3 linked regions of the Oryzias latipes genome follow. The protein of the gene in region 2 interacts with the protein of the main gene of each other region in a biochemical or structural test. Links are inferred from orthologs where the notes say so. Each region holds a gene or a part of one and is shown on either strand. Other genes may lie near its edges. The genes, in order: tubulin beta-5 chain, sumo2 and eme1.

The links.
Region 1: the proteins of sumo2 (region 2) and tubulin beta-5 chain form a complex in vitro, tested with the Homo sapiens proteins (2 studies listed by BioGRID). The link is inferred for Oryzias latipes from reciprocal best matches to the Homo sapiens genes SUMO2 and TUBB6.
Region 3: the proteins of sumo2 (region 2) and eme1 form a complex in vitro, tested with the Homo sapiens proteins (2 studies listed by BioGRID). The link is inferred for Oryzias latipes from reciprocal best matches to the Homo sapiens genes SUMO2 and EME1.

Annotation. Positions count from the first base shown.
Region 1 is NC_019878.2:4,236,864-4,247,228, forward strand, and holds the end of tubulin beta-5 chain, read right to left. Parts: intron 8,200-10,365; coding exon 8,091-8,199; intron 8,017-8,090; coding exon 7,906-8,016; intron 5,468-7,905; coding exon 5,352-5,467; intron 4,416-5,351; coding exon 4,287-4,415; intron 4,216-4,286; coding exon 3,397-4,215; 3' UTR 3,231-3,396; downstream 1-3,230. UniProt on the Homo sapiens protein: Tubulin is the major constituent of microtubules, a cylinder consisting of laterally associated linear protofilaments composed of alpha- and beta-tubulin heterodimers.
Region 2 is NC_019866.2:13,020,315-13,031,618, reverse strand, and holds sumo2 (small ubiquitin-related modifier 2), read right to left. Parts: upstream 7,750-11,304; 5' UTR 7,732-7,749; coding exon 7,711-7,731; intron 5,247-7,710; coding exon 5,115-5,246; intron 4,104-5,114; coding exon 4,032-4,103; intron 1,892-4,031; coding exon 1,829-1,891; 3' UTR 1,812-1,828; downstream 1-1,811. Other genes in the region: jpt1 (jupiter microtubule associated homolog 1), read right to left, coding at 744-1,072; nuclear pore complex protein Nup85, read left to right, coding at 8,635-8,667, 10,645-10,735, 10,811-10,967, 11,161-11,231. UniProt on the Homo sapiens protein: Ubiquitin-like protein that can be covalently attached to proteins as a monomer or as a lysine-linked polymer.
Region 3 is NC_019877.2:24,363,535-24,374,855, forward strand, and holds eme1 (crossover junction endonuclease EME1), read left to right. Parts: upstream 1-3,883; 5' UTR 3,884-4,119; intron 4,120-5,042; exon of another isoform or gene 5,043-5,123; 5' UTR 5,124-5,135; coding exon 5,136-5,694; intron 5,695-5,776; coding exon 5,777-5,904; intron 5,905-5,985; coding exon 5,986-6,099; intron 6,100-6,493; coding exon 6,494-6,615; intron 6,616-8,995; coding exon 8,996-9,134; intron 9,135-9,998; coding exon 9,999-10,114; intron 10,115-10,189; coding exon 10,190-10,379; intron 10,380-10,860; coding exon 10,861-11,028; 3' UTR 11,029-11,144; downstream 11,145-11,321. Other genes in the region: mrpl27 (39S ribosomal protein L27, mitochondrial), read right to left, coding at 204-410, 824-891, 1,716-1,844, 3,157-3,199. UniProt on the Homo sapiens protein: Non-catalytic subunit of the structure-specific, heterodimeric DNA endonuclease MUS81-EME1 which is involved in the maintenance of genome stability. In the complex, EME1 is required for DNA cleavage, participating in DNA recognition and bending.

The sequences.
Region 1 (10,365 bases), on a different chromosome or scaffold from region 2:
CTTTCGGAGGGGGAATGGATTGAACAGAAGTTCTTCTGGAAGCCCTCCCCCCTTTTAAGGCGCCACTGCCAGTGATCAGTTCAGTTATCCCTATTTTTCCTCATAAAACCAAACAGTAAGAGGCTCTGCTGATACATTTTTCCTGTAAAAGTCCACTTAATTGCCCACAGAGTCAAACAGCTGTACCTGCAGTGAGATCAATGATGCAGAAACACAAAGACAAGAAGATTTAAAAAAAAAAACAAAGCTTGGCTGCAAGACAGAGGAGGATCCTGCAGCCACTCTGTTCCTCTAATTGCCAATTAAAACATCTTTGCTGCTCAGTGGTCGATGGCAGAGCGGGATTTCGTAAACAGAACAGAACCACTGATCTCCCTTTCATAACTTCCTGCTTATCTGCAGCCAATTATCCGAGTCGGCTCGTTAGAGGGAGCTGCCTCTCCTGCAGTGTGTTAGAGATGCTGCAGCAGCACCTTCAGCTGTGACACAGCCGTTTAAAACAGAAGAGGGTCTGAGACTTTCATCCCTGATGTAAACTCTGTTGGACAGTCTGGACCTGAAAACAGTTAGAATGTTAAATTGTGTCGCCCCCTGGTGATTGTGGATGTACATTACAGCAAAGAGAAGTCCCTGACCTTCTGGCCTGTAAAAAGCAGGGCGACCTTTTCTTGACATTCTGTGCCTTTTAGTTGTCTTGGTTCATGTTTTGAACTCTGTTCATGTTGGTCTGTTCTCCCTCAGTCACAGCTCAGTGTGATTGTCAGCATCAGGTTCAGTGGGTAATAATGATGCTTCTAGTGACGGGCGATAACACACTTTTAGGATTTGATACACAGTATTCAATTGTAGCAATACAGATTACTGGTAGTTTCTTATTGTTAAGTTTTTTCTCATGCATATTATTTGTTATCCTAAGAACAAATACCATCAATAACTTTATTGTGAAAGGTTCAAAATTCAAGTGTTCTTTCTAAAATCGCCTGCTCATGCTGTGCTGCTCGTGGCTCGTCTGGTCCCATGACTCGTGGAGCTGTTCAATATGCTGTAGGTGGGGTGTGTTTTGGCACTAAATGCTGGAATATCTCACCTAATAACCATTGGTCATCTCAATACTTTAATATTTAAACTAAACTTGGTGACATTCGGGAATCTGTATTTTGATACCTTGGTATTGACACTCCCATCACTAATGCTTTTCCATTTAGCTGACATAATGCTCTGTGCTAATGTATGGTATTCACATTTCATACCATTACATTTCCGGAAATCTTGCAGACACACCGGCCCTCGAGGCCTGGGTTGTCTATCCCTGCACTGGCCTCTGAATCCAGAGATCCCAGTTAATCCAACCACAAGGGGGCCCAGTCCAGTTCTTTCATGCTCCAGTCCAAGCTCAGGTAAATGCAGAGTTTTGTCAGGAAGGGTATCTGACCTGAAACCAAAGTCTCATCAGTCATGTTAATCACAAACAGAACTTTCACATGGATCAGCCGTGACCTGAGTTAACAACAACTGGTGCTGTTGATCAATAGTGTTCTGGTGGAAGTTGGACTTTTGTTGGAAGGAGAAGACCAAAACGAGTTTGTAGACCGAGAGAGAAAGACAGGAGTGAAGAACTTAGAGCAGAAACTTTGGTAAGATGGGTTTTCACAGACCAGATGGAAAGAGATCAAAGTTTTTAGACTGGAAGCAGCTTCAAGATGTTTTATCATGGTGTAAATGGAAAGAGAAAAAGATCCTGAAGGAGGAGTTTGTTCTGAAGTGAAGGGAGGGTCAGATAGGTTGGGGCTGGAAGTTAAAGGTGTGATGTTAATTGTTGTCAGTGATTATGACCCCCAGATATAAAGTGAGCTATAAAGGAGATGGAGAAATTTGAAATTTTAGTCTAGTGCAGCTGGAGATTCCTTTGTAGTTTTCTCTTGACTGTCACCTTTTGTTTGCTCCGTGTGGGAAAAACAGAAAATCTTTTCCTGTAATCTGTAGGTCACTTTGCCATTACTAAAATCACCTTATTGGAAATGTCTGGACTACAATGGATCTTTACAATCAAAAGTAATTAACTGGGTTTGGTGTTGGTTGCTTTCTGTGCAACACCTTCAGATGACCTAAATTATTACCTGGAGCTTAATAAATAAGCTGACTTAGCAGACACAAGGTTAAGGCACCATGAAAACAATGAAGGAGCTTCTGATTGGCCTCTGAAGTCAAGTGAAAAATAAATATTAAATCTGACAAATCCACCAAATGCAGAGGGATTAGCTTTAATTAGACTATTAACTCTCACTTGTTCGATTGAATTGTAAAATGCCTTTTAAAAACACATGCGAAATGCATTTTCAGTAGAATTTCACTACATTGAAATTAAGGTTTTATTTATAAATGAAAAAGACCAAGTTTTCATTTTTTATATTATGAATCAGAAATTGGAAAAACTGCTCAACTAAATTGCAGATTGAATTCCTAATCAAGAATTAAGTATATCTAGAATAATTAGTATGAAGAAGATATTTTTATGGTTTGTTTTCCAGTTAAGTTTTGTCTTTTGGCTCTGCCAGCAGTCCACAAACCGAGCCCTCAGCTGGAGCTGAAGCGACTGCTGATGCGATATGAACGCTGCAGACACAAAGAGCTGATCCACTGTCTGATTTTGTCTTTGGCAGCAAGATTTGCCGCCGCTCGGCTCATAATCCCCCCCCCACAAACAGAACTGCTGTGAAATGAAGGCCGGGGATTTACGGGTTCTGATGGTGCTGCAGTAAAAATGCCTTTCAACTTAAAGCTCCACATTCAGGTTGGTATTTCCAGGAACACCAAGTTTAAACCAACGTTCAGCACAAAAGCTTCAATAGGAACTAGTTTGCAGTTAGATTTACAACAGTTTTGTTTAAACCTTTTAACCTCAAGAAAAAAAATTTTAAATTGTAAAGTTTGAAATGGCACACTGAAATAAATTTAAAAGAGGAAAAAAAGTGTCAAGGCAAAAAAAGGTCATGTAGGTTTTTTTCAAACCAAACCGCTCTTCCCTTTACAAATATCAAAACAGAATAATAAACAAAACAGTTTAAGGTTTTCAACAAAACTTTTATCGCCCAATTATTCTGCCCCTTCAGGAAACCCCGCCATAACAATTCCAGGGTTCTGAGCTCCACGTCAGTCATCACTGTTTTTCAGAAATAAAAATAAAATCAAGTGGACACTGGTTGGTTGCTCAATAATGTTGTTGGTCTTAATAGATAAGAAAATTCCATCTTTATTATATCAATTTGCTGTCCTAATGCTAAAATTTAAAACAAGACTTAAAAAAGACTTTTTTAATGATTTAGAAATGCTTTTTATTTGTCGGTTTATTTTTTGGAATCATCACGTTGGTTCTTCTGCTTTGTATGACTCAGCTCCTCAGTCCTGGATCTCCTCCTCTTCATCCTCAAAGTTCTCCTCTCCATCGCTGGCTGTGGCCTCCTGGTATTGTTGGTACTCTGAGACCAAGTCGTTCATGTTACTCTCCGCCTCGGCAAACTCCATCTCATCCATGCCCTCTCCCGTGAACCAGTGCAGGAAGGCCTTCCTCCGGAACATGGCGGAGAACTGCTCCGAGATCCTCTTGAACAGCTCCTGGATTGCTGTACTGTTGCCAATGAAGGTGGCGGCCATCTTTAGCCCCCGCGGTGCGATGTCGCACACGGCTACCTTCACGTTGTTGGGGATCCACTCCACAAAGTAGCTGCTGTTCTTGTTCTGGATGTTCAGCATCTGCTCATCCACCTCCTTCATGGACATGGGTCCACGGAAGACCGTGGCAACCGTCAGGTACCGGCCGTGGCGGGGGTCGCATGCCGCCATCATGTTCTTGGCATCAAACATCTGTTGGGTGAGCTCAGGTACTGTCAGCGCCCTGTATTGTTGGCTGCCCCTCGCCGTCAGAGGGGCAAAGCCCGGCATGAAAAAGTGCAGCCTGGGAAACGGAACCATGTTGACGGCCAGCTTGCGGAGGTCTGCGTTGAGCTGGCCGGGAAAACGCAGCGAGGTAGTCACGCCGCTCATTGTGGCTGACACCAGGTGGTTGAGATCGCCATAGGTGGGCGTGGTGAGTTTCAGGGTGCGGAAGCAGATGTCGTAAAGGGCTTCGTTGTCGATGCAGTAGGTTTCATCTGTGTTTTCTACGAGCTGGTGGACCGACAGGGTGGCGTTATAGGGCTCCACCACCGTGTCCGACACCTGATGGACAGATGAGGATGAAGAGGACATGGAGGAGAATCACAGAGTTTGGTTTCAGAGAGGGGAGGTACCTTTGGTGACGGCATCACGCTGAAGGTGTTCATAATGCGGTCGGGGTACTCCTCTCGGATCTTGCTTATAAGCAGGGTGCCCATGCCTGAACCGGTGCCCCCCCCCAGAGAGTGTGTCAGCTGGAAACCCTGCAGACAAATTACAGCTATTTATATGTGAACCTTTCAGTGATGTGGTAAAGCCATTGACTCTATTGGACTGACTGACTCGGACCAATCACTGCTTACCGGCCACATGTGGTTCCAACATGGCGATGTCTGTGTCATGAAAATCTGGTGACTGAATGACTTCATTTGGTTGGAGCTGGCAGTTAGTCAATTTCTTTAGGTGATGTCACACTCACTCGCTCCAGTTCTCATACACAGTCGATGAGTAAAATCCAAATGATCTGTTTTAATTAATTAATTTGCAAAACAAGTCAACAACCCCTGCAACCTTAGGTTGTCAACAACAGGAGAAAAACATCTCTAGCCCTTGTGCTATCCAAGGCACTTTGACATTAGGAGTGGGGTCAGCTGGACCCACTAGACAGTGCTCTGAACCTTTTTTCTTCAATGATTTGTGATCTTCACTGGTTTCCATGGATTACATGAAATGTTTCCACCTTTGTCCACCTTTGTCATGGTAGGGAAAACATGTCAATGGAAGGGTGGGGTCATTTTGACCCCACAATATAGCACAAGGGTTAAAGAAAGTAGGACATGTCCCTCAAGGCCTGAAGTTCTCCACTTCTAATTTACATATAATAATATATAATAACTTTTACAACTAAAATACAATTTTATTTTTATTACTTTTTCTTCTTTTTTTTAATGGGATCTCATCAGTTCAGATTTACCTCCTTCAATGACCAACAGATTTTACGTCTACATCTTTCCTTGAGGCCACACTGTGGGCTTGAACAACTGCACCACTGTAGGGTAACACGAGTGGGAGAGACCCTGCTGGGCCCCTTTCCCCTCAAAGCCCAGTCATTCCAGACCCAGTACTTAATCCAGTCCCCCCACCCCACCAGCTGAATGTTACCAATCACTCTACAAAAAACTCTAGAGAGAGGGTTTCACCTGCAGACATTCGCAGTGCTCACACTCCTTTCTCACAACGTCCAAGACCGAGTCCACAAGCTCCGCCCCCTCCGTGTAGTGACCCTTGGCCCAGTTGTTACCCGCACCTGTCTGACCTGCAGACAGAAAATCCATGAGGGAAATCTGAAACTTTTAGCAGAGCAGATGCCTACACTGAGTTTTCCTTAATCATCACAGCTGAGTGGGTAATCTCAACCGCCACCAGTGTGTGAATGTGTGTGTGAATGTGTCTGTGACTGTAAAGCACTTTGGGTTTGGGTACCGCGAGTGGTTCCCAGAGAAATGTTGACTCAGACCGACTTGAACCAATCACTGCTTACGGACAATGTCAGGCTCAAACGTGGCGCCTCTGTATCACTGAAAAATGTAGACTGAATTGACTTCACTTAGTTAGAGGCGGAAGTAAACCGTTTTCTATAGGTGACGTCACGCTCAGTCCAGTTCTCTTATACAGTCAATAGCCGCGGTTACATGCACAAAATATCTTGATCGGATCAATGGTCAGATTAAAATTCAACCGTGCACGTGGGATGAGAAAACCTTTTTCCGAAGCGTTCACATGGTCACACTTTCAGTCGGAATAAATCATTTGGGCATGCGGAGTAGTGTTGAAAATCTCGGAAGAGGAAAGGAGTCTTGTTTTAAACAAACCTAGCTGCCATATACATTTATGCAGCAGCTCTGTAATATACAAGACGATCTTCCAAACATGCTTTTATTAATGTAATGAATATTATGAAGCGCCTGTTCACTCATCATTTTATTTTTAATCCGTGTGGTCAGTGTTTTTTTGTGAAAGAACGGAGCTTGTAGAAGGGTTAGGATAGGTGAAGGCTAACACGCGCTAACAACATTTAGCCTTTGATGAACATAAATCCATGCGGGAAATGCCGCAATCTGCATCTTGGCTGAAACTTAATATGTGGGAATAATATCAGCTTTTATTCTGTCAGGACACGACTGGAAACACAAATCTACGTGATTGTTTGAACATTTTCTAAGGACTGAGCGACATTCTGTTTTGAAAAGCTCACACACCACCCCAAAGCTGCTGTGTGACCTGGAGACATGGTTCTGAGTCCGGCAGCCGCCAACCCAGAGCGGCGGGACGGATCGCAGTAACAAACGCACACGTAACAAAGACTCCTCCCCTCCCCTCAAACACAAGTTATACACGGCTGCTTTGCTCAGAAACACAGTTCGCTCATCCCCGGCACCCGAGCCCGGACCGCGCAGGGTCCTCGAAGCCCTCCTCCCCGGCACCCCCTTGTGAGGGGTGTAAGAGACGGGAGAGGCGAAGAACCAGCGGAGTGTGGGCGGAGTGGCGCTTTGCACCGGGCGTCCGCAGAGCAACCGGTCAGTCCTGTTTTAGCTCCAAAACTTTCTCTGGATCGAAACATCGTCTATGCATGACGTTAAACCAGAGCAGAAGTGACACACGATCAGAATGAACCGTTTACATGAACAACGATCGGATCAACAATCGGCATAACCCACCTGTCTCGACTGGAAAGAAATTTTGATCTGAACAAGTCTGATCGGGGCAGACTATTCCGAACGGTGTGTTTACATGACGCATTTTTCTTCCGATCAGGCGTCCTTTCCGATTACTTTTTTCCATGTAAATGCCGCTAATAACTGTGACAAACATTTAGAACATTAAAGGAGCACCAATTGGAATCAATTGAAAAAAAAATGTTCATAGAATTTAAATCTTCTTTCTCTTTTGGCTTTTCCCATCAGCCACAGTGAAACAACCTCTCCTTCGAGGATGAGTCGCATGGTTAACTTGGCGATGTTTTATGCCGGATGCTCTTCCTGCAGAGAAGGGAATAGGGAGCAGCCCGGTTTTGAACCCTGGTTTCACGGACGGAAGGTGCCGCAAACCAGCACGAGCTAAACTTGCTCCGTTCATGCAGTTTAAATATGAAAAGAAAAACTTTTTCCCCTGAGGAATATCCAGACATTTTGGAGAAAATGTGTTTCATCATGGAATTTTTTTGTACTATTAATGTAATCCATCTGCCTGCAGAATGAACACCACCTCTGTCAACAGTAATCTTAACACTGCCAACACTGAAGTGGGATTTAAATCAGATCCAGGACAGTGGCGTGGTGTTAACCACAGATCTGAACTGTAAATAACAGAAAATCAATTATTTTATTATATATATAAATTACATTTTAGAAGAAGATGGTCATTTTTGCTCTTTTCTGGAATAAGGTCGTTCAGGATAACCTAGTGTGATGCAGATGTGTTCATTATATTCATGTTGGCACTTTATTCAAAATAAGCATGACAATTTGACGATGAAACAATTAGCTGCCTGAGTTTATGGGTAAACTCACCTTTCTGATCTGAACCTATAGAAGACAAAGAACACAATTCAGAGCGCAGACATCCGGAGGACAGCAGCAGGTTTTTCTGCAGGTTCCAAACTAGCTGTGTTGGTTCGTTAGTCATCAGAAATTCATTCAGCTGCTGTCCTCTCTAAGGACACCTAAACCCTCCACACGAACAAAGCAAACATACCAAAGATGAAGTTGTCGGGTCTGAACAGTTGTCCGAACGCTCCAGACCGAACGCTCTCCATGGTTCCTGGTTCCAGGTCCACCAGTACTGAGCGGGGGACATATTTATGTGCTACACACACAGAAGTCAGAAAGTCAACCGCAGTCAAACACAACACTAGCAGCCCCCCCACCCCCAACGCTTACAGGAGGCCTGGTTGTAGTAGACGCTGATCCGGTCCAGCTGCAGAGCCGAGTCTCCCACATAGTTTCCAGCAGCGTCGATGCCGTGCTCGTCGCTGATCACTTCCCAGAACTACATGAGTCACGGGAATGGGGGGGGGGGGTTACTTCTGCAGCATCTGACTCAAGAGCGTTGGTGCTTCATGGTGCATTCACTGACTCTTTCCTGCCTGCTTCATTTCAAAGTATTTTAAACTATAGAGACACAACAGGATGTGTGAAGTTTGACGGTCGGAGAAGGGTGGAGCTCTGCAGGCCAAGCCAGGATCCAAAGAGCAGCTGGGACCCCCTCCTGAGCCTTCAGAGGCACAGATGCTCCTTCAGACGCAGGAGAAATCCAACCTTTCCCAGACTCAATCTAAACTTTTACCTGCTGGATTTAAACTAAGGTCTCTGTGCCATCTGGTCCCATCTTTTCAGAAGAGTCTTGAGTGAAAACAGTGTTAGTGTTTCTGAAGCATTGTGGCTGCCAACAGCAGGACCTCTGGAGGAGACGTCACCACGTTGGAGATAAAGACAAACAGCAGCTTTGAGCGCAGAAGCAACTGTGTTACCAGGATTCCTGTCATTGCCCCCCCTACACACACACACACACACACACACACACACACACACACACACACACCAGACCAGAAGCGTGTGATTTCAAACTACAGAGACACTCAAACAAATATTCAACCAACTGTTTCTCCATAAATGGAATTCATTTAAGTCTCTATGACTGAAGAGCTGCTTAGTGTCACCCGTGTTTACCTTCACCAAAGCTAAAATTAGCTTCACACAGCAGATCCAGCTTGGAAACAGTAACACTTTCACCCATCGGCTTCAGAGCAGGACTGACGGACTTTTTTTAAAAAAAAAGTAAATGCAGTTTTTCTGCTCCCTCTGTTCATTTCCAATCTGGGATTGGGCCTTTTTAAATCTCAAAGAATACAAAGATGATCTAGTTCATGAAAACACGCCTCAGCAGTCATTGCAAGTAAGAAATAATCAGATAGCAACCGTTTCTGTTGACAGGCTGGACCAGGGGTCTGCAACCTTCAACACTTAGACATTCAGGACAATTTCTCACAGCCCACAAAGTCTGACTTCACCCTTTAGAAAAATAAGACACTGGTTTGTATTTATGTTAATGTTACTATTATGATAACTATAGATGAAGTATTGTTTTTTTTAAGTAGGCATTAAACATACAAAAAAATAACTTTACAAAATTTGAAGTAGTTGATAGTTATTCAATGACTTTCTTTCAAAATAAAAGACCCCTGTGTTACATATCTCAAATCAGCAAATGTAGTAGTATTTGCCATTTTTTCTACTAATAAAAAGTTTATTTTACTGTTTGTTGGGCATCTTTGACAGACATTTATAAATCTAACAAAGTAAAATTGCATCACAATGAATCAAATTCTTCAACAATAGAAAATCTGTTATATGTTCCAGTGTCTTTTATCAGATATTCTGTGATAAATGGAGATCAAACATCTGCTACACTATTTAGTACGCCTTCAGTAAACTATGAAGGATTGATGGATTGTTGGAGAATCACAGCTACCATAATCAGGAGCCTCATGGAGTGATGCGTAGTATCCTACAACTGTTTGTGAATGAGTTGAAAAACGTTTGAGCTACTTTCCTTTTTTCTTATCCCAGACAGGCAGCAGCGCAAAAAGGTCCTGTCTAAGGACCCACACTGAATTTTGGCTCATTGCTCACCCTGGGAAGCAAACCCAGGTTCCTGCACAACAGTCCTCGGCCCAGCCAACTGAGCTGTACCGCCTCAAACTTAAAACTAAAAACTGTATTTTTCTCTAATCAGAGAGCCACAGGGGGCTTGTGGCAGACCCCTGCGCTAGACTGTTTTAATTTAGAGTTAATGGTTCTTAGTGAGTGACTTGATTTTTCAATGATGAACTAACCTGATGAACTAACCTGACTCCAAAACCAGCCTCAAACCGGAAGTGAGACTGTTTGTACTTGATTCAGATCTTCAGGGTTCTGTGATGTCATATACACAAATCATATTCATTCATCTTCAAACTGTGATGCATTCACTGAAGCTCAGAAGTGGGACAGTAGTGTGTCCATATCACCACCACCGGTTTTTCTGCTTTACATAGCTTAAAAATCTTAGAGCAACACTTATATTAAAGAACTTTCATGGGATTTCATTTCTATTCCCTAGATTATTCAAGATCAACAACCCACAAAGGTGAAGAGATTCATTTGAGGAGATTAT
Region 2 (11,304 bases):
ACCACTTCAACACTTGAGGATCAGACGTTTTATCAAGCTCTCCCTCCCTCATCATCGCTTCTATTCCTAAAAACTGCTACAGTCAAGCACCAAGACAAAATTCATTGTTACTGCAAAAAAAGGAGGAGGAGGAGGAAGAATGCATGATGATCCAGACGAGACGCATCACTTCCAGAAAGGACTGCGTGCTTGCAGCGTGAGTCTTCAGGGGCTTTTAGTCCCCACAGAAAATACCCCCTTTCTGTCTGCACGTTGTCGCAGCCTAAGTTGGAGACTAAACTATCCATTAAATCGGTGTGGCTAAAACGATGGCATGTTTAAAATTATCAATCGCTTATAGTCTCCATTTCAAGTAAAAGGTGAAGTAAATAGGCAGAAACAGTTACTTTAAGTCTGACATTTTTTAATTTAAATGATAGAAATAAATAAAGATTAGTCCTTTGCAGAAAAAGATAAATATTTCCGGTTAGCTAATTTTTTGCCTGACATTCCGAACCCCACGAGCTAACTGAAATAACTTAATGTTGCTAAAGGGCTCTGGAGCCTCCGAGGCCCAATGAGATTAACTTAATTAGCGAGACTGTCTGTGTGTGACAGTGCGGCTCAAACCTTCTCCACAACACAGGACCACAACCCGCTAATCAAAACTAGCACACAAAAAAGAAGGCGTTTGCTAGCTTAAAACACTTCCCCGCATCCCCGCTTCTTTTGTTCCTCCGCCAAAGGTTTCCAGCTGCTTTTACCTGGAGCTGCTCTTAGCACCGGGTTCCATTCCTGTATAGGTGGTGGTGGTCGTCATCTTTGGGGGTTTCAGACGTCCCGGCTGTAAGGAGCAGTGAAACGGATGACAAAAGGAGAAATCCTCCCTGCGCTCAGAAATGCGCCGCGCTGCGGACTCCACCCGAAACTGGAAAAGCGTTGGGAAGCCCAGATCTGCTGGTTCTGCGGTGCCAGCCCACAAGGACCAGCCCACCAGCCTATCGTCCGCTCTGATTGGACAGGACATCACAGAACTCTTTTCTGATTGGACAGAACCCAAGAGGTCGAACATCTTGCTGGTGGTAGTCCCCATGTTTATAAATGACTACAGCTTTCATCCCTGAAGATCGTTCATTTAATATTGACAGTCAAAACTAAGACCTTTCTGTCCATTTTAACCAGTAATATAAGCAAACTAGAATTAATGACAGACAAAAAGAAAAATATTGAAAAAAAAGACAATAACTTTATTTAAACAGACAATTTTCATAGACAATATGGGAGTTTGTAGAACTAAAACATCCTTTTGGTTTCCAAATTTGAAGCTTAACAAAGCACTTTTCGTTTTCTAAACATCCAATACCCTATAAAAAGTATAAAACCAAATTTTCTGTTGGTAAGAAAAAGTAAATTATAACCAAGCTCCATCCATAAACTAGGTATATGGCTCACTAAGTGAAATCAACCCAACAACTTGTATATCTTAAAAACAGATTTCTTTTTTTTCTCCTTTTTTTAATGGACCGTGAGAGTCCAACTTGCTCAAATCCAAGCCCCAGCAGACAGCATCTTTACAATAAACCTTTTAAACTGGGACAGGAGGTTATTAGTTACTAGATTACGGAATAAATGACCAGAACTGGAGGTGATCTGGATGTAGTTTATGTACACGGGCAGAGAAGTAACGGGGGCCATGATGAAAATATCATACAGCAGTTTTGTGTAGCAGAGAAATTAAACCTTCTGCGTGGAATTCTGTCGGCACAACTGAGAGTCGCAGAGAGCCAGCTGCTGGGTGGCGTGGCATGCTGGCGAAGTTGAAGAGGAGGCTGGCAGCATGTGTGGCTGATTAAATCCGGCCCCCCGTCTGCTGTTGAAACACATCAATTGTATCTTCATCTTCCATTTCCAACTGTTGATAAAAGGGGACAAAGTGTCATACATACAGACATACCTTTCAGACATTTAAATACATCTAATCTTTAAAATAAGAGGGGAAATTCTCTACAATAAAGGGGGCAAAAAAAAGCAAATGTCATCATGTTCCATTCATGTGGAATGTGACCTTGGGCTGACACTCTGCCCCCTGGGCATATCAAACCCCAAAGCTGCATCAGAAATGACAGTGCGGGATGTTTTTATGACTACAGCATGCACACAGATTTGCCTTGAACAGCAAAAATACCACTTTAACCTCAAACAACAATGGTGTGGTTACAATAATACAATCATAGAAGTTAATTCAGTGCATGTGCGTTGGCCGTCGTAACAAACTCTACAAGTGGATAAAGGTTTCCGTCAGACATCTGAATGTAGATGATAAATCCTCTCTGCCTGTGGCAGAACAAGTTTCCCATGGAAGCGCTATTATCTGGCATCAAGACATCAAGCACGGCAAGCTGCTGCTTGAGGATATGAAATACCTGCATGGCCAACAAGTTTATTCATTTACACTTCAATATTCGGAGGGTTTTCTGTTTGCTCTAAACTGCAGTGAAGTTCTAGCCCAGAAAGCAAAAAAAAAATAAATAAAAAAATGGAATAAAAACCAAAAAATAAAAGAAGTAAATGGCCTGGTTTTCGTTAGAAATCAAAGAGTTTCTTAACCAAAATGTGAGTGTTATCTTGTTCTGGTTGCATTACTAAGAGAAAAATAATAAAAGAAATAAAATGAAAATAGGTAATAACAGAATCACATCATGGGTCTTAAACAAAAGAAGCCTAAAACATATGTGCTCATTTCTACAGAGATTCATGGCTTATTGATCAAACCCAACAAAAGAACCTCATGAATGTTTTAAACCTAATACATTAATTTAGAGGCTGCATTGATTTAGTCAGACCAGCTTTGGAACAAGAACTAAAAACTAAGGAAGTCCCGATCCGATTCAGAGTCATTTGATTTTGAGTATGTACCGATACCGAGGCCTGATCCGATATTATTGTAACACATAAAAAATGATCAAATGTAATGAAGTCAGGTTATCACAGATTTTTACTTTATTCACTTTCTTTAATTATTTAACACTTAAACAATTTGCCGCTGTGAAATAACTCAAAGAATCAAGCAAAAGTCGTAAAACTTTCAACTACAAAGAACAGTTAACTATAAACTAGTAAAAAATAGGAAATAATTATTCATGGGAGAAAGTTTGGTGACTGTAGCTTTAGTATCCTCAGAATTATTGAACATTTTTGGTTCTTATGTGATTCATACTTGCATTAAAAAGTCATTAAAATTAATGATGACTGTCTTTTAAAATTGTTGTTGTAACATAAATATTTATGAATAGCTCATATCAATGTAACCATTTATCAGTTTTAGTTTTTTTTAAATGGATTTCTTTTTTTTTTTCATTTTTAAATAACTTTTTCCCAGAGCTTTCACCTTTCACTGCCGACTTTCTGTCAGCAGCACGGAGAGAGCAATTCTCATTAAAAAGTAACCAAAGCTCGATCCCTTTTCTTTTTAAACGCCTTTCTAAGTTGTTGTTTGAGTTGAGACAATGACACTCGCTGTCAGTTTAAAGTGCTCATTTAAGAATTATTGAGCCTGAAGGTCCAAATCTGTGAATATCTTGCTAACCTTCTCAAACTGTCTTTCAGCGCCTCCTAGCCTCATTGTCTGCTGCACTTTATGGCAGTAAAACGTTGGGATCCGGTCAGAATTTGAAGACATCTGGTAAAGTGTTTATCTGTAAAGTTAAGATTGAAATATATAATAATGATAAAATAAATATCCGAGTCCTGATCTGATCGCAACATCGGATTCCAATCGAGTTTGAAACTACGTGATCACATCGGGACACCCCTGCTAAAAAAGATGAAAGAAATATTGTTCAGCCAATTCATCAAGATTTGCCTAATTTATGTTGCAAGTATTTAGCATAAATAGATAGATATAGCTAGCTAGCCTACAAATCTACTCAACAAGCTATTTATCTACCTATCCATTACTTTTATCTTCATCCACCCATATAAAGGATTTTTGTTATAACACGTTTTTGGGATAAACTCCACTGGCAGCAGGTTTTGCATATCATCAGTCCTACCTGTGCAGGTGTGTCTGTCTCATTTATTGGCTGTCCGTCGAATCTGAACCTTATTTGCCTCATTGAAAGTCCCTGCAAAGACAATACTTATTAATTTGTAGCAAAAGGCCTGCTTTCCGTTAGAGTGACTGGAACACATTTCCTGTTCATATACATAAAAAAAGCAAAAATTGTGTGGTTCTATTAAAAAAAACAATACATGTAATAAATGTATTTATTCATAGTTAATATACTAATTAATATGTATAATGTCACATGTTATGTATTATTAGCACAGACGTGAGACACTGAAGGAAAGACTGTTTTCCTACAACAGGTCAGAGTTGATTCACATTACACTGACAAACACACACATGCTGTGTCATACAGAGAAAATCAAGCTGTAGATTAAACAATAATTCAGGCTTTCAACTATTAGAACCTCATTTAACTTATAGGTTACATTTTCAGTGAGTAGAGAGAATCCCAGATCCTAAAGGGATAAGATAAGGAGTTTTTTGTTATTATTTAGAAAGATGTGAAAAGATGTAAACATTTCATGGTAATCGAGTTATAATCCTGAAAAACAACAGCGTTTATGAACCCGTTCAAAAAAAACAAAGCAAAAAAAAAAAACTGCTGCGGCGTTTACAAGCCAATACAAGAGCTACGAGCAATATTTTATATTTGGGTTCAGTTAGCTCTAACTTTTTTATAACTCAATTAATAATTCAATGAAACACACACATATATAACATAGTATAAAAGAAAGTAACAAAAGTCTCACATAAGATAATAAAAATGTAGAATGCATCATCAAATTAATATTTATTATAAATAAATACCTGACCTGCTTTAAATTCACAGACTTCCTAATTTTAAAACCCATTTGTATCTAAGCGATCATAAGTTGTTGTTTTTTTTTCCACAATACTTTTGCTTATATAGGGATATAAAAACATATTCCTTGGGTAATACAAAGTTTAAATGATCTAACTACTTTTTAACGAACCTTTACTTTTTGTATAAGCGTTGTGATTATGATAGTTTTCCTGAATCGCCACCGTTTTGTGTGTTTGTTGTCTAATAGGGGATTATACTTACCTGTCTCTCACAATATGCCTTCATAAGTTTGATGAGCGGTGTGTGTCTTTTGATCTTGAACTGCACGACAGATCCATCCTGACCTGCTACCTTTAGATTTATGTGTTCGTTATTTTCAGTCTTCACTCCTTCCTACAAAAAGAAATAAATAAATAAAGAAATAAATAAATAAATATTGTAACGGTTTAAGAAACAACAAACAGGACAGGTCATTTTAGACACAAATAACAGTGGTTCCTTGCATAACAAATACCCCACACACAAAAAACTATCTGCCTTGGATGCCTGCATGCCTCGCAAAACAAATTAACATCACGTAACGAAGCCTGTTTGCAGCGAACAATTGATTTTCTGGGGGAAAAGGCCAAATCCAGACAGTTGTGTGCCGTGTCATTCAGATGAAGACTGTTACCCTTCGGTGCAAGGCTCGGTACAGTGCTTAAAAGCCGCCAATCATCCCCATCTCCTGGTTAGGTTATTGAAAACAAACAGACTGGACGCCAGTGTGATGGCAAACCTGGGCATGTTTGTTTTTTCCTCTGTTACACAATGCAGGCCAGAGCCTCTGGTTGTGATAAATGGTACAGACCGTCCTCTGGGCAGGACCACTATGGCAACAGCAGCCAGTCGCACCAAAACTACATCGCATGTGGGATCATAATCGCCCACTTACTTGTTGGTGGCAGGTTCCCATGAAAACCACAAACACGTGTAAATAAAACCATAAAGGTGGTGCAGCAGGCATTAAGAAGATAAAGCATGTTTGCCCCCATTTGGTTTGGTTTCTTCTGGTTTTTCTTTCTTGAATATTCTTTTTTTTAATACTATTTTTCTTTAAATTTGTAGAACGGATGACATGATTTTCCAAAGTCGATGTGAAATCTGGCAATGTGTGCAACATCGCCACAAAAAAGAGGAATAATGTAGGGAAATAAAATTTCCAGCTCCATCAAAAGAGCGCCGACAGGTGAGACGGACTCTCCTTGAGTGGCCTAATATTGAGTGGAGAATAGGTCTGTTCTTTAGCTTCAACAGGTTGAAGTTTCTTAGTCACCCTGGCTGGAAGAACTTAGCCAAAGTCTGTTTCTCCTCCATTTTTGAGTATGTTCCTGAAATGACCATGACCTTCAACAAATTCACTAGTCTGTAGACTTCAGTTTGGTTGGGGTGCCACTGAATGGACGTCTTGGTCCTACTTCTTAAGTGTGTTCTTGATGGTGATGGAAGGAATTGACCTTTTGCTCTTCTCATCTTCTGAGGAGAGTCATCCCCTTCTGTTTTTCCTTAATGGGTTTGTGTCCAGGAGGTCTTTTCTCCTCCTTGGTGATGCAAGTTGGGTCACTTCTTCCAGAAGAGGCCATTTTTGCTTCAGTTGAAAAGCTGATGAGGGCTGTGGCCTTCTTCCCAAACTAACACCTGAAATTCTCCTGCAAACCTCTCAGCAGCAGCTTTGTCGGTCCTAGCTACCTCTCCGTGCAAGGCCACTCAAACAGCCTTGGATTCTTCTTCTTCTGTTTTAGCTCCTTCTGCATTTGTACTTCTTTATTTCTTCATACCCTGACTTTCTCGCAGATGAGCTCTGCCTCCGTCTGCCTCTCATCTTCATCTCTGAATAGTTTTCTGACCTCGTTGCTGTTCCCCCGTGGTCATACAGTTCGGCAGGACGCACCTTGAACGTCAGGTGCAGCTCGATGGTTTCTTTCTTTGTTTCAATGCTCAGAGCTTTTCTGACCATTAACACACCTATTGATAGGAACCATTTTTCTTGGGGTTCAACATTCAAAATTTAGAGACTAAGAAAAAAAATTAAGAAGACCTGTCCTCCAATTAAGAAGACCTTTAACTTAAGGAAACACGATCCAAGACACACAACAAGTCACACCTATGTACCTGGATTTAACCATTCTGTTGTACCAGAAAAAAGTTAATTTAATTTATTTATTTACAAAAAAGGTTCGTTTTGTGAGGCAAGTGGGTTGCAATGTTTATCATGCAGATTGTTTGTTCTATAGTTCTTTATGTTTGTCAGAGTGGAAAAATAAAAAGATAAAATACCAGAATTACCAGGGATAGAAACATAATTGTAGGCCGTATGAAAAACAGATGCTAAAAAACACGTATTCATTGTTAAATATTAGTTTCAAGTATTTGAATATTTTATTTTTGGTATCCAGTTGTTATAACCCGTTTTCTTCAACGAGTCAAGCCAAAGTGTTGCAGACTGACTAGAACAGTTTAGTCTAGAGACTAAATACAAACAGTTCGTTTTCTTGTTTATTTTTTCCATTCTGGTGCGTCATTACAAAACACAGACAACTTAATTACCACACAAACACAACGCAAGAAAACCGCAAGATTTATAGAGAACGACACCAGCTGGTTGGCGGGATGTAATCAGCCTAAAAGCGACGTGCGCGCCAGTCCATGCGCGCTCACATACCTTCCGGTCCATCAAAGTAGGTACAGTTGAATCTTATCACTTAACTTTTTTATTTAAAAAAATACGAACAGCACACGCGGGAATGTAAATTCACCTTTAAGATCGGCGATCCAGTTAATTTGTAATAGCATCGTAATTGACAATGGGGTCACTTACCTTTGGTTTTTCATCAGCCATCGTCACTCTTTTGGCGCTTCTCTATGCTACCACACAAAGAATATGAGTGCGCGCACGTACTCGTTCCCGTTTAAATTATTCGGGGAAACGTGCGCGGGCATGTGTCAATGCGCGTTCACTGAACAAGGATTTAATTGGCCGCATGAAGTCACGTGGACTAAAGCGCAGTCTAGTTATGGGCGGGAGACTACCGCCTGCGCGTTACAGAGATACTCGGCTTCACATGCACGCGCACGGCAGAATTTTTCCCTTTTGTTTTTGGTTTAGGTCTATTATATACGAAGGAAATCTGTTCATCGTCACGCCGAAGACTAGTATCAGTGCTGCACGTTTCATAAAGCGCCCATATGATCGGTATTAGATGTACAGCGTGATATATTAGTACTCTCCTTATTTTAACCCCTCATTATAGCCCAGTGGCCATCTTGGTTTTTCTTTCTTTTTTTGTTACAATAAAAAACAGGCACCGACTAAACGACAACATTTACCGATATGGCGATATATTTTCTAAGATAGCTAACTTATATAACGTTTTAATGTATATTAACAATATGATACGATTGTATCTTCCTGATTCTGAGAATATGTTACACGTTTTCGGAATAAAATTACTTCGACTTTTAAATGTATATCGATTCTAAAGATAGTGTTATTTGCTTCAGTCATGTCAGTTTTCTTGACGTAGATTAAAAGTAAAAGAAAGTACTGTACTTGCAAATTTAAAAAAACAAAAAACAAAACAGGCATTAAGTAGGACAGTCCTACATTTGACGCATGCGCGAGATAGTCGTAGAAAAAGAGAGGCGCGCAAGCGTTGCTATATTATAGCACGTGTTAAATGGCATGATTAAGGTGAAAAAGTTCATAGTTTGAAATTTAAAAGGATCTAAAAAGTTTCATCCGATGGAGGAGGTAGACGTTGAACCGACGATAACCGTAAGTCTTTCGTACTATGTAGTTTATTGTTATGCGCTATCGAATAGCAGCTAACAAGTTAGCTAAGCATTTTGAATTTTGTAAATCCTAAAATTCGGAATAAAAAAATACACTAGTAGTTAATGATACAAACACAAAAGTTTATGATGAAATGTTACGGACCGACATTACGAGTTGGAGGTTTCGTAGCTAAAACAATGTCACAGTTGACATGTTCTTGGATATAAAGAAACAAACTTGGAACAATGGTTAGAAAATCAAAATGTAACGTTATTTTTGTCTTCTACGTTTTGTTAAGTTATTTTGTGCTTTGTCAAACAAAGAAAGGTAAGTCTTTTCCTGGACATTTTTGAGTCCAGTCTCTGTCTTAATGTCAAGGTAAATAAATATCCTGTTGCATGTGTCCAATGGATTAAAACTAAGAAAGGCAAAAGAAAACCATAAGAGTGTTGGTTGTAACATTGCAACTAATAGGCAATAAATCGAATGTTGTTTGAAAGCCAGGACATTTTAAAATGATTTTATTTTATTTAAGCTTTGTTTAATAGGGACAGTGCACATTAATGAACATCTACCAAACAATGATTATAGGCGTAAACATGCTGGATTATAGCAATGATGCTAATTTGCATCCCTAGTCCCTAGGCAGGAAACATAAAACAGGACAAAACAAAAGACACAGTCACAGATACAATAAGAACACAAGAAAGTGGTACATTATGAGAGTTAAAAGTCAGTGGTTACAGGACTGGTTTGCTTTCAGCCACTGCTTGAGCTGTGTTTTGAAGGTCTGTAATTATTGACACTCCCTTATGTACAATGGAAGACTGTTCAAGAGTTTACTGGCCTTTACAGAAAGAGCGTTTTGTCCAAAGGCTGTTTTTCTGTGTGGAACCTCACAGTCCCCTCGAGACGAGGCCCTAGTCCTGAGAGCGCTGTGAGACCTTATTTAAAAAAAGTCAGACATGGGAGGCGGAGCAAGTCCATGTAACACCTTGTACATCAAACAAGCGAATTTAAAATTTTTAAAATTCTCAAAGCTCAACAACTTGTACTTTTTCAAGATATTACAAACATGGAATGACATTGGTTTTCTATCTAAGACCTTAAGTGATTGTTTTATAAAGTGATTCTATGGTTTTGCTCGTATTTACACCCGGCAAGGACCAACATGTAATACAGTATTCAATATGTGATAGAATCATTGAATGCAAAAACATTCTAGCAGCTCCAAGTGAATTTTTTTAATATGGCTCTTGAAGCTCAGAGTTGAATCAAGTGTCACACCAAGATACTTAAATTTAGATAGAATTTCTAGTTCCCGTTCTTCCAAAAATATACCTGAATGCTTGATGTCCACTGGTTGCTTAGTGAACATCATACAAACAGTTTTAGTTGTATTTAACAGTAAGCAAGATTTAGAAAGCCATTCATTTACAGGAACCAGAGCTGAGGTAAGAATAGAGGCTGCTTCTTGAATATTTTTTGCGCTAGTGAATATGACAGCATCATCAGCATACATTTGAAATTCAACATTACCACATGTGTTTGGCAGATCATTAATATACATAGAAAACAATAAAGGCCCAAGTATTGATCCCTGTGGTAGACCAACAGGGACATCTAAGAGAGTTGATTTGACACTGTTAATACAATCACACTGTTTTCTGAATTCTGGATATGATTTTATCCACTGAATTGAGTCCATAGAAAAGTTAGACAAAAGAATCTCATGATTCACCGTGTCAAATGCCTTATGATTGTAAAGAACGTACTTTTGCAGGATTTTCAGTAGATATTGATTGAAAGTCTTTTTTTTAAATATAAGGAAACAAAACTTAGTTAGATTGAATCCCAAAAAGCTTTGCTACAAGATAGAAATGGTCAAATAAGCACTTTAGTGATGTTCAATAATGTTCTATTGAATGTTGCAGAGATTATTACAATTGGAAATCTGTGTTATCACTCTCAATACAGAATATTCCTGCACTCAGAAGAGGAAAGCATATGGGCTTTGCATGGGGTCAAGGTAATATCTTTGTCTATGAGACCCTCTTCAAAGCAACAGGTATGTGTTAATTTCAGTTTCAATACTTTCGCAAGTCTTCTTGCTTTGTTTCCTTTCTATTGTCTTGTGTTTCAGGTGCAACAGGATCTGGTTCCCCCTTCATCCATGAAGTCCGGAAAGATGAAGACATCTACTCTCCTATTTTGCGCAAACTCTTTAACGAGTCGCATCACATTTTTGTTGGCTTGCAAACAATCAGGGAGGATCTGCCCAGCAAGAACAAGAAACCTCAGTAAGTCTCCTGATGAGAGACCGCTCAGCTTACACAAATAATTAGTTTTTATTGACATTTTCTTTTTAATTTTTTGATCAGTGGGATGACATAAAGATTGAAAAAGAAAACAGGCAAAACATCAACATGTAACTATTTCATGTCAAACAGTGTTAAAGTAAAAAAAAAAAACAATTCCTGTTTTGCTCTATAGGTTTGTCAGCATCAGTAAAAACTATAGATCTGTTATTCGAGCCTGTATGGAGGAGCTGCAGCAAGTTGCAGGTTAGCTTCTTTAAACTGAATCATGAAGTGTATCTTCGAATCCTACAGTGTAGTTTTTTATAATGGCATGTAC
Region 3 (11,321 bases), on a different chromosome or scaffold from region 2:
CTTTAATCATCACCATAAAGCTCAGCAGCAGCTCAGTCCACACCTGGGGGGGCCCTGGAGCTCAGTGAAGACAGACGGGACCTTCAGCTTCACGGTGAACTCCAGCACAAGTCTGGACGTCCTCCACAGCAGAGCTTCCTCTGGACCGCTGCTCCACTCGCATCGGAAAGTCTGTCATTTCAGCCCCGGAGTCCTGATCCCCGTCACACCTGATCCACCAGCCTGAACTTGGCCTCCTGTTGGACGGGCATCACGTTGATGAAGGTTTTGTAGAGCACGGCGCCTTTGGGCAGTTTTGGAATGATGGCGGAAGCCTCGGGGCTGCGCGGCGGTGGGATGTACACCTCCTTGGTGAACCTGACGTGCCCGTCCTCCAGAGCAAAGAGGGTGTTGTTGGTGCCCATGCCCACCTTCAGAACAGAGGAGACAGAACCAGAACTGATGCAGGGTTTCCATGGAAACGTCCTCCAGCTACAAACAGACCGACTGACCAGACTAATAATATTTAGGATTATTTTCCTTTACGTGCACTATAGGAAACAAATCTAAGAGAGTTTTAAATCAAAATTCAACAAAAGCAATGATATCCAGAAGAAATATTGACTTATGCCTCTGAACGTTATTGTTATTACCTCACAAAAGACAAGACACACAATGGTTAGAGGAGTCGATATCATTAGAAAACTGATGATGTCAATTCTCTAAAATGTCAACACTGGACTTAAAGCTTTGGTGTTGAAGAGTTAAACTCCAGAGCTTCTGATGCAGCCATCTTTGTTCCATGTTGTGCTTGTGTACGTTTGTACTGGTTACACAAACTTACGTGCGCTCCTGGGTGAAACCTCAGCTGCCTCTGCGTCGCCAGGATGTTGCCGGCATGAACAAAGTTCCCTGAGGAAACAGGAAGAAGCGTCAGAGCTCCTTCAGGAGTCATCAGGCCGTCACCATCAGACACACCGCTTACATGTAGTTTATTGTACAAACAGGCTCACTATCATCTTTCATGACACAGCAGTTCCAAACTAAGGGTGCATTCAGCCTGGGAAAACCGCTTGTTCCAGAGCCGGTCAGCTTCATTTGGTCCGGATGGAGCTCTGAAACTTGTGCTGGGTCTGTATTCAATCATTCAAACTTTATTTGTTGCTGAGCGGTTTTAAAGGTCTGTATCACTTTTTCCTGCTGCTGTGGTCCGGTAGAGGCTGCAGGCCGCTTACGGGCAGGAAGACGTCCTGGAAGCTACGCTGATAAGTGTTAATGATGCATAGATTGTTGGGAAAACAGGGAAAATCACTGTGGATCACGTTAAAAGTTATTTTAATGAGCCTGCATCTCATGGAGTTGCTGTGTCTCATCACAATATTTTATCAGAATTCTGTTAAGGAACTACAAGGTAGCCTATAAGATGATGTCACAGTAGCCCTGGCCGTGTAACGAGACACAGAAAAGCATGTTTGAATGTATGAAAAATCAGATCCATTTTTGAGACAATGTTGTTCTCCATCTTTGTTGTTGCTTTTTTGGGCTAAGACTCGTTGAAATCCTATTTTAACAGAGAAGAAAAACCTTTATGTGGGAACACTTTAAGCCACAATGAACCGCCTTTGAGCGAAACCACGAGACAGAAGCTTAACTTTGAGTTCAGAGAAGAAGAAAAGGAACCACGTTTGTCCACAAACACAGTAGAGGACGAGTCTGAGACGGACGGCTTTGGTTACCGTCTTGTTTCTTGAAGCCGTATCTGCGGCCGGGGCTTTTTCCTCCGACGTTCTTGGAGCTCCCGCCTGCCTTCTTAGAGGCGAACCGAACCGAGTCCAACAGAGACGACTGAGCAGAAATCAGGAGACCTAAAGCAGGTCCAGAACCACAGATCCGTCAGCAGAACAGAGCAGCAAAAATGGAAACTATGGTGACCAAGTCAGAACTGATCCTGCTCCAGAACTGATGTTCTGCTGTGTCTGGAGGAGAAATTCACATTAATGGGGTTTTTAACTCTGGATTCTGCCGTCAACCGAACATACCATTATTTAAAACTATTTTTATGAACTATTAATAATACAGTTTGCATTTTTAACAAGACACAGAATCTGTTTGTGAAGTTTAGGCCATAAACTGTTCCAGGATTACATTAAAGTTCTGTTTGCGTTAAGTTTGAACGCATCGCCACAGATCAGCTACATTTACAGTTATTACTGGATACCCCAGTATGCTGCAAGTTAGTATTTTATGCATTTTGATAATCCAAACATAATATCTATTGATCTACAAACGTTCCAATAAGAGACATAAGTGGGAAAAATAAGAAAACAATAAATAATGTTATTATCTGTTTAACACTGAAAAAGACCAAATTGAAAACAAGATTTTATAAATGAGTTGAATTTTTTAACCATTAAAACAGGAAGAGGTGTATTATTTAGGCTTCAAGGGTCCCGCTGGATAAAAGTGACATCACAGATGACACAATATCTAACTATGCTAGAAAAAAACAAGAGTTTCTGTGATGAATGAAGAAGGTTGCTTTAAACTTGGGCCAATAGTCCATGCAAGACCATTTTAAGACTGATAAAGCAATTTAAAAGAAGGAACTTAATAGATTTTAAAAAGAAAGATATGTTATTTAACACAACATCATAAGATAATATAGAAGACAGTCCCATAGTCTCTTGTTGTGAATATGTTATTTGTTGTCAGGTTTAAATTCTCCTACTTTCAAGCTAAAGCGAAAATTATATTTGCTTTTTTTATTATTATTCTCTGGACAAAATTAAAAGACTCTTCAATTTACTGTAACAGGTTTATCTCCATCGTGTGGTCATGATTATGATCGTCAATGTGCCAAATTCCACCTTAATAAAAATCCTCCTTAACCATCGAAAGCTGGCTTCTGTGTCACAAAGGGGCTCTAATGAAAATATAAATGGCAACTCAGAAATTGAACATAAATTGATCATATTTAGAGTTAACACAAACTGCTAACTTAGAGAAACGTCGCGCGGCTCTTTTCCAGGTTAGCATCATGTGTCGCGTCTTTATTACGTTTTACAATAACTCAAGCCCCAAAATAAGACAAACAGACGTGATAGTCATCTGATAGTTATCTCTAAAATCTCTCTGGCGTGTTATATGCTTAAAAATAAGGACCCAGTCAAGCCATACCTGCTCTTGACTTGAAACTCAAGGACGCTAACGCCGCCATCATCACAGACGTCTCCTTTAAGTCGACCTCAGTGCGTCACATCCGCTCGTCTGTGTTGCATTCAGGTTCCTCAGAATGTAGGACTTTCTGATGTTCGCGAATTATTCAATATACTGTCGTATTCGAGTATTCCAAATTGAAATATGGTGTATTTAGAATAAATTCTATTTATGACTATTGTTACTATCTAAATTATTTAATTTCTTGCATTTTGTGTGGCTCCTGGAGACAACCGTGAATGTTTTTTGGTGTTTTATAAACTATGAATGAGATACTGCTGAGATCTGTGGTTCTTTGTTAGTACAAGAATCGGTGTCTTTTGTTAAAGCAGCAAATCTTATCTGGGACATTGTAACTCAGTTTTTAGTCTTCATCCCTGACACATTTATGATGCAGAACACCAGTTCAGAACATGTTAAATAAATTGTCTCTGTTAAAGAGTTCTTCAGCATATTCAAAATTAAATACCCTTCTGTAAAACCATTTAGAATATATAATTACTAAAACAGTACATGGATGCGTTTGTTTTTCTATTTTTTCACATAATCTAGGAAATCCTGTTTTGCTTAACGCGTAAGCATCTGTCAGTCTACCATTTTTCCACTTGTCAGAAGCTCCTTGTCTTCTATACTGTTGTTTAACAACTAAAACACAAGTGTGTTAAGACCACAACTGTAATTTCCCTGCATGGTTTGAGGTGAGCGGTTTTAGTCCCACGGGCATTGAACGCAACGCCACCCCGGTAAATCAAACGTAAAAGGCGCGAGTTCAGCCGGCAGTGGTGGGTACTGGTTACAATTTTAGACAGCAAGCAGAAGGCGTTCGTCCACGCAGGGAATGAGAAATCACTGATTAGTGCCGCCAGGACCCGGATCTGAGGCCGCGAGCAACTAACACCTGAGGCCGCGAGCAGCTAACCTGAGGTGGGCTAACCAACCAGTGACGGCAGGTCTGCTGTGGGGATAAAGGCTGCGTTTGGTTTCGAAAATAACAAAGTGGAAAAAGCTTGTGTGTGTCTCTGTGACACTTATGATAATAATAAAAACCGAACGCTCTGATATTTAAAACAGTTAAAAGTGTCCGAATTCCCACCCTGACCTCTAAATAGTGCACTATAGAGCATTCGCTATTTTCTAGTGTTGTCTGAATCTACAATTCCAGAATCCAGTGCTCCGGAAATTTCCCAGAAGTCTCTGCGAAACGCCAGTGTGCATCGATGCTCACTAGATCGACTAATATATACCACAATGCATTGCGTCGGAACAATTTTTGCCAAAAAATATGTATTTAAATCTATTTTTTAAATAAATTATGCACATTTTTATCTTTAGAAGACAGTGGACTCATAAATAATCGTCGTAAAACGCTCAAATTAATTAGATTTTAACTTTATGAAATCGATGACGTCATATTCACCTTAAAAAAAGCAGTGAGTATAGTGTTTGAATTGCTTTTAAAATTCAGGGCACTACATAGTTTTTTTTTAGTAGTTAAGGGTTATGGAGGGAAATTGGACAGAGCCAATTGTTATTTTAATTCCTAAAAACTTTTGATTTAAGCTTTTAATTTATTCGTCTAAGATTATTTAAGATGTTTATATTTGGACATAAAAATATTATTTATCTAGTCGATCAACCTTTTCATTGTTATATTTTTCTGGTAAATGTTGGAACTTCAAAACTTAAATCAAGGTTTTTATATCGTAAAAAATAAATGGATTTTCTCCTTCTGACTATCTACATTTTATAGACTTGAAAGGGATTAGAAGAAAAACACATCTGCTGAAACTCCTGCTCTGGTTTCTTCTGTCTGCTGAAGGTTCTTGTTGGTTTGAAACCTGTTTTAGGTTCTTGGGTGTTAAGTCTGGACCCTGAACCCTAGACCCTAGACCCTAAACGCCTCACTGTCACGGGATCGGGTCTTTCAGGGACTTGGAGGCATGAGCAGCTGCAGCAGCACTGACCTGGATGAGGAGCTTCCGCTGTTCGACTTCCTGCAGCCGACCCAGCGCTGCATTCAGGGCTCTCCCACAGAATCCGAACAAGCGGCAAAGACTAAAGCCGGTGTTCCTCCCGGAACGGCAGATGTCATGATGATAAGCAGCGATTCAGATGATGATTACGCACCTCTGGCACAGAGACTCAAACCCAGCAGTGATCCCTCCTCTGTGTCCGGCGGGAAAATGCCTGACGGTGGATTCTCGTTGAGTCGATCCAGCTCCTGCCAGAACGGCGTTGTAGCGGCTGGGCTTCCTCCTAGTGTGAGACGGGAGGAGCCTCAGAGCTGTAAAACCTCTTCTGCCTGGAGAAATCTGACCAAGCGGCCAACCGAGGAGATCCAGACGTCTCTGGAGGAGGCCCTAAGGAGGAGGCAGGACAAGGAGGCACTCAAGCAGGAACGGGAGAAACAGAAGGCAGAGAAGAGAGCTGTGGCGGAGGCTGCCAAAGCCCTGAGGCCAGAGGAGTGCATCAAACACATGGTGGTAGCCGTGGATCCAGGTGAGGAGCATCTGAAAGAGGTTTGATGCTGGCAGCAGGACAGGATTTAGCTGCAGAGCTTCTCTCATGCTCACCTTCACAGCACTCCTGCAGCTTGAAGGAGGCGGGGCTCTGCTGGCCTCGCTGCAGGCTCTGGGCTGCAGCTGCGCCATTGAAAAGCAGCCCCTCCCACGCAGCATTAGCTGGATGAGGAGAGCTCCACCTGCTCAGGTAAGAAGACCCGCCTCGAGCCACCTGCGATGGATGGCGGAGTGAGACGTGGCCTCAGAATAAAACCAAAAACCCAAACAGAGTTCCAGCTCCTCTGGAGCCCAGCTGGGGGACGCAGCTTGTGTTCCTGAGACCCCCGTGGTGATGCAGATGACGGTGGAGGACTTCATCACTCTGATCCACAACTTCATCCAGGTGTGTTGCAGCAGATGGAGAGCCTGGTCACCACTAAAGCACAAAGGTTTTCCTACAAGCGGCTAAAATTCAAGTTTTCCACTGTTCTGGTTGGAGTTGTGTGTTCTGGGCTGTGGAGCAGATGATGCTCTGAGTATTTACAGACAATTGAGCAGAGATGAAATGATGGACAAAATTCCAGACATGAAAATCCAACCGCTACATGACAGTTTTACCAGGTAAGGTCTGCTGATAGTCATCAGGGTCAAACAGAACTAACTAAACCTTCACGGTTGGATTTTCACATCAGTTGAGACCAACAATGTTCTGATAGAACCCCCCACGTCTGATCCGGAGTGAGAAGAAGAAACGGTGCGGTGCAGGTTCCTTTAAATCCTTTTCCCGTTGGAACCAGGAACAGAAGGTGGGCCGCTCTGACTCGGGTCCCACGCTGACGGCCTGGGTGCAGCAGCAGCAGAGGCGTCAGCCCAGGAAGACCCTCAGCCTGGCAGTCATTGAGCTGGAGAAGTATTTCAGGTGGGAATGAAGCCAAAGCTGTTCTTTGGTTTCCATTTTTTGTATTTCAGGGCCATAGGGGGCAGTTTTTTCTGTATTTCACAGACCAGGTTTTAAGGCGCGTTGGCACGTACCGGTAAAACGTGCCAATGCTAGTGGGTGTTTTAAAAAAAGGCAGCGGGAGCAAAACTGAGTTGGCTGTGATTTATTTTATTTATTTTCAGTCATCAATCAGCATCCAAACATCCATCAAAGTCCTCATCTTCTTCCTCTGAAAAATCCCCATCCGTGGCAGTTTCTGTCCATCAGCACGGCAGCCAAGCACAACAGTAAAAGCCCCGTTATGCGCATCGCTGCCGTGCTGCTCCCCTTCTTCTCCACAGTGTGACTCACCAGGATGCCAAAAGTGAGCGGCGCCTCGTCCCAGCTGGTGATGTGGCTGGGCTGGATGTTTGTCGGCAATCTTTTTGCTGCAGTAGCAGCGGAAGATGGACAGCTTTCCGTTGTGATCTCCTGGAAGTTGCTGCACCACCATAGTCCTTGCCCAGATGGAAGCATGGCCCCCTTTTCAGAAAACCTCCTAGAAAATGTTCAATCTTCCTTTCCTCTGCAAGCGTTACTGCCTTTAGTCGAATGGTGACTGTAGAGACGCTCCTCCCAGCTGTTCTCTGATCGTTAATCCATCGCTGCAGTCCGTCTTCCGTTTCCGTGGAAACTCAGCTGCGTCTTCTCGATTGTTGGAGTTCGTTTTCCAGCTTCCTCCGCTTGTGAACCATGGATTCATTCATCTTGAATTCTCTTTCAGCTGCTTGATTCGATAGCTTGCAGTTTAAACTGTGCTTCATAAGCGTCTCTTTGCATTTTTAGGGTTTCCAAAACAATGTTGTTCTGCATAATGCACATACCTGCACTTTAGTACCATTCAGGGGGGTGTCTTCTTCCACGTCCTCACTTCCCTCCTCACCGTCCTCATGCTGTCCTCTCCTACGTCCTCTTTACCCAACTTAGCATTAGGCCACCAAACCATAGGGGTCTCTGTACATTTTGGAGAAAATGTAAGACTTTTAAGTGCGCCTTATGGTCGTGAAAATACGGTAGTGTTAAAGACGTCAGTTACATATTTTGAAGGTGAGTCATGGCACGAGGACTCCAATCTTCTTTCCCCTTCAGACGGATGAAGCCACTCGGATGAGTGGTGAGATTTTAAATGCAGATGCTTTGACTCAACTTTCAAGACATCACCTACGTGTCAGTTAAACCTTTTCTAGAATGTTTTTCAAGAGTTTTTTCTGCAGCACAGCAGGTGTTCGCCTCTGAGTTGTCAGCGTGACGGTTGGCACAGAAGTAACCCTCCTTGTCTGCAAGTGGATGCATCAGAATGGAGCGGAGCAGGGAGACGTTGGCCCGCCTATTTCAGTTGCTGTGTAACAAACATGAGCTTTTTCCAGACGTGGGTTCCTCATCCACCATGATTTGGATCAAGGAAAACTCAGAAACGCAGTTTTAATCTTCAATTATTTGACACAAGTCCTCCATCGTGAGAAAATTGGCACAAGAACTCGTTAAAAAACAGCAGTAGCACGCTTTTCGTTGGAATGGGTCTTTAATACACTGAAAACTGGAGCTTTTCTCCAAAAAACCAAATCGACCAGCTAAGAACTTTTTAAATAAAACAACCAAATCAGGAGTGAGTTCAGGAGATTCCTTTGATTTATAGGTAGCTGTACACATGACAGTGCTGTTGCTCCTGCTGTTCACCTTTGTTTTAGAACAGGCGGTTTGCTTTAGCCGTGTCCTGGGGGAGGATCCCTCCTTCATGTGGACCCCCCTGAGCTTTCTACGTGTTTTCTTTTAGGAGGGTCTCCGGGCAGAGATGCCAGTTTAGTTTAGTTAGTTCAGTTTAGAATCTTTCTATTGAAGTGTGTGTTCATGATCCTTTTGATTCGATGTTTTACTACATTTATCTGCACAAAGCCCATTGAGACGACTGTTGTTGGGATTTTGGGCCATACAAATGAAATGGAATTGAATTGAATTGGTTTCTGCTCCTCTTGGCCCCTGTAGGGGCCACTGTAGGGGCCACTGTAGGAGCCACTGTACTTGCAGGAGCCCCACTCTGCTTCCTGTAGCCCTGCTAGTCTGTTCTGAGCCATTCTCCTCTGGACTTTGAGTTTTCTTTTGATTTAATCAAAGGTTTTAGACAATCTGCAGTATTATTGACTTACTTTCAAATATGGAAAATAAAATAATTAATCTTTTATAAGGGTAGAAATGATGAAACGTTTTGTATTCTGTGTTTTACTGTGAAGCACTTTGTGATTTTCATCTTGAAAGGTGCAATATAAATAAAGTTTAGTATTATTATCAGTAACTATAGCTAAACAATAACTTTTATTTCTAGATCACAGAAATCTGTGAACCAGAAGAAGTTTAAAGCGGCCGTGAGGAGTGAAACATCAGCAGGAGGAGGAGCTAAAGAGAAGAGGAAGAAGGGTGGGGCTGAGGCTTTGCCCCAGGTTTCCAGAGTGCAGGTGGAGGAGGTAGACTCAAACTCAGAATACTTACCGCAGAGCAGTGTTTCCATTCCTCCCCCATATTTTAATAATCCATTGTTTATTTTTTGGACACAAACGAAAACCTTTTCCTAATTTAACCATTTAACATCGGAGACGTCACCGGCGACGCCTAAATAACACGTTCCTTTACGTACCGTAAATCCTCCACCGTTCATGAACGTAGATCAGGTGATTCTGACACGCAGAAAAGCGGCTCTGCAGCAATGTGAGCTCATCATCTCATTACTGAGGGAAGGTGATGCACATCAGCAGAAAGCTGCTTTTCTCCGCCTCAGAATGATGTTGATTGTCCAAACGGTGGAAGAGTTATGGTGATGTAAGAAAGGAAACACTGGAGCTTAAGCTGTGCTGAAAGAAACAGACAATTTATAGATTTACTACATTGGAAACTTTTCAGATGTACAATTTAAGAAAGTACATATTTGGGGGGTTTTGTTGTATTTTTAATGGAAATCAGAAGAAGATTTCATTTGTATTTGTAACTGTTGATGTTCAGTCTTTCTGTGTTATACAGTATAATATACAGTATGCTAACAGCTAACCTGCTGTGTAATAATCATACAGAAATGTCTTTCATAGTTCATTTAAACAACTTTTAAAACATTTGATCATTTTTCCTGAACTTCTGAAAAGTTTCTTTTTTTAAAGCAAACTAACATTTTTTCTTTCAAAACTGAAAGCTGGCAAACATTTTTCCACCTTTTTCAAGCTTGTAAAACAGAACCTGTGATTGTGCAGCGTGTCTGGCGTTGCAGACAGGAAGTGAGGCGGCATCGATTGATCTGTGGGCGCAATAAGCTGACCGCACTGCTTATTCCGTCCCAACAGGCCGTGGTTCACCTGCAGCTTCATGCTGGCATCTCAGTCCACTTTCTGCCTTCATGGAAAGAGTTTGCCGACTATATCGCCATGACAACGAAAGCCGTGGCGGAGGCGCCCTTCAAGTGAGCCGTCTCCCCTCTGTGCTGGTCACCGATGCTGCGGCGTCAGTCATTCCCCGCCATTGTCCTTGTTTTCAGGAGGGAGAGGGAGAAGACCGGCTTCTCTTTCTACCTGGAGAGCGAGTGGGCGGGAGGCCATCGGGTGGACAGAGGTGGGAGGGGCCTGCTGCAGGTGTGGAAGAGGCAGATCCAGCAGTTCAACAGAGTCAGTCCGGACATGGCGGCGGCCATCCTGGCAGCGTATCCATCGCCGCAGCTGCTGCTGCAGGTTTGAACACAACTGCATGAATGCAAACGCTGTGGGGTGTCTTTAAAAATTCCAACATCACGTGTCACACATCACGTGTCACACATCACGTGTCACACATCACGTGTCACACATCACGTGTCACACAGCCAAACACACATTTAGTGCATCATGCACAGATGAGAACTGGTCATAGATGAATATTCGTGGACAGAGGGAGAAAAGTGAAGGTCTTAACGTGAAATTTTCACAGATGGATCACGAATGAACCACACAAAGAACAAGTAAATCTAAGGAATGGATTCTTTTTTGTCTTTTTACGTTTGTAAGAATGAAAGTGTTTTGTAAATAAAGGTATATATGATTGAAGAAGAAGCTTTCATCTAATCAGCTCCTGTGCTTCATTTCCAGTGTGTATTCTCTAATTCCAAAGAGTGCAGTTTGAATCCTGGCGTGGGCTTCGGTTCTTTCAGGACCTGAATGTTCTCCTCCTCATCCTCAGGCATACGCTCGATGCCACACTGAAACGGAGAAGACGTCTCTGCTGTCCGACCTTTTGATCCGCAGAGGTGAAGGGGTCACGTCCACAACCCGGAGAGTCGGACCTGAGCTTTCCAAACGGATCTTCCTCACCATGCATTCTCCAGATCCAGAGCAGACTCTGGATTGAAGCGTCTGAACGCCGCTCTGCTCCTGAGCCGCTGCCTGGTCGTCACGTGAAGAGCTTTGGCTTCAAGATTTCACTCTGATTTTTGTGTTTTTTAATTAAAAGTTTCCCAAACTCTACTTTCATGGACTACATTTCCCTTCACTTTCAAACCCCTGCTGTCTCAGGAAGATAAGGGTGCATTCAGACTGGGAAAACCGCTTGTTCCTGACCCGGTCCGCTTGATTTGGTCCGGATGGAGCTCTGAACCTTGGGTTTGGTCTGCATTCAGACTGCCGTCAAGCGGCCTTTCTGAA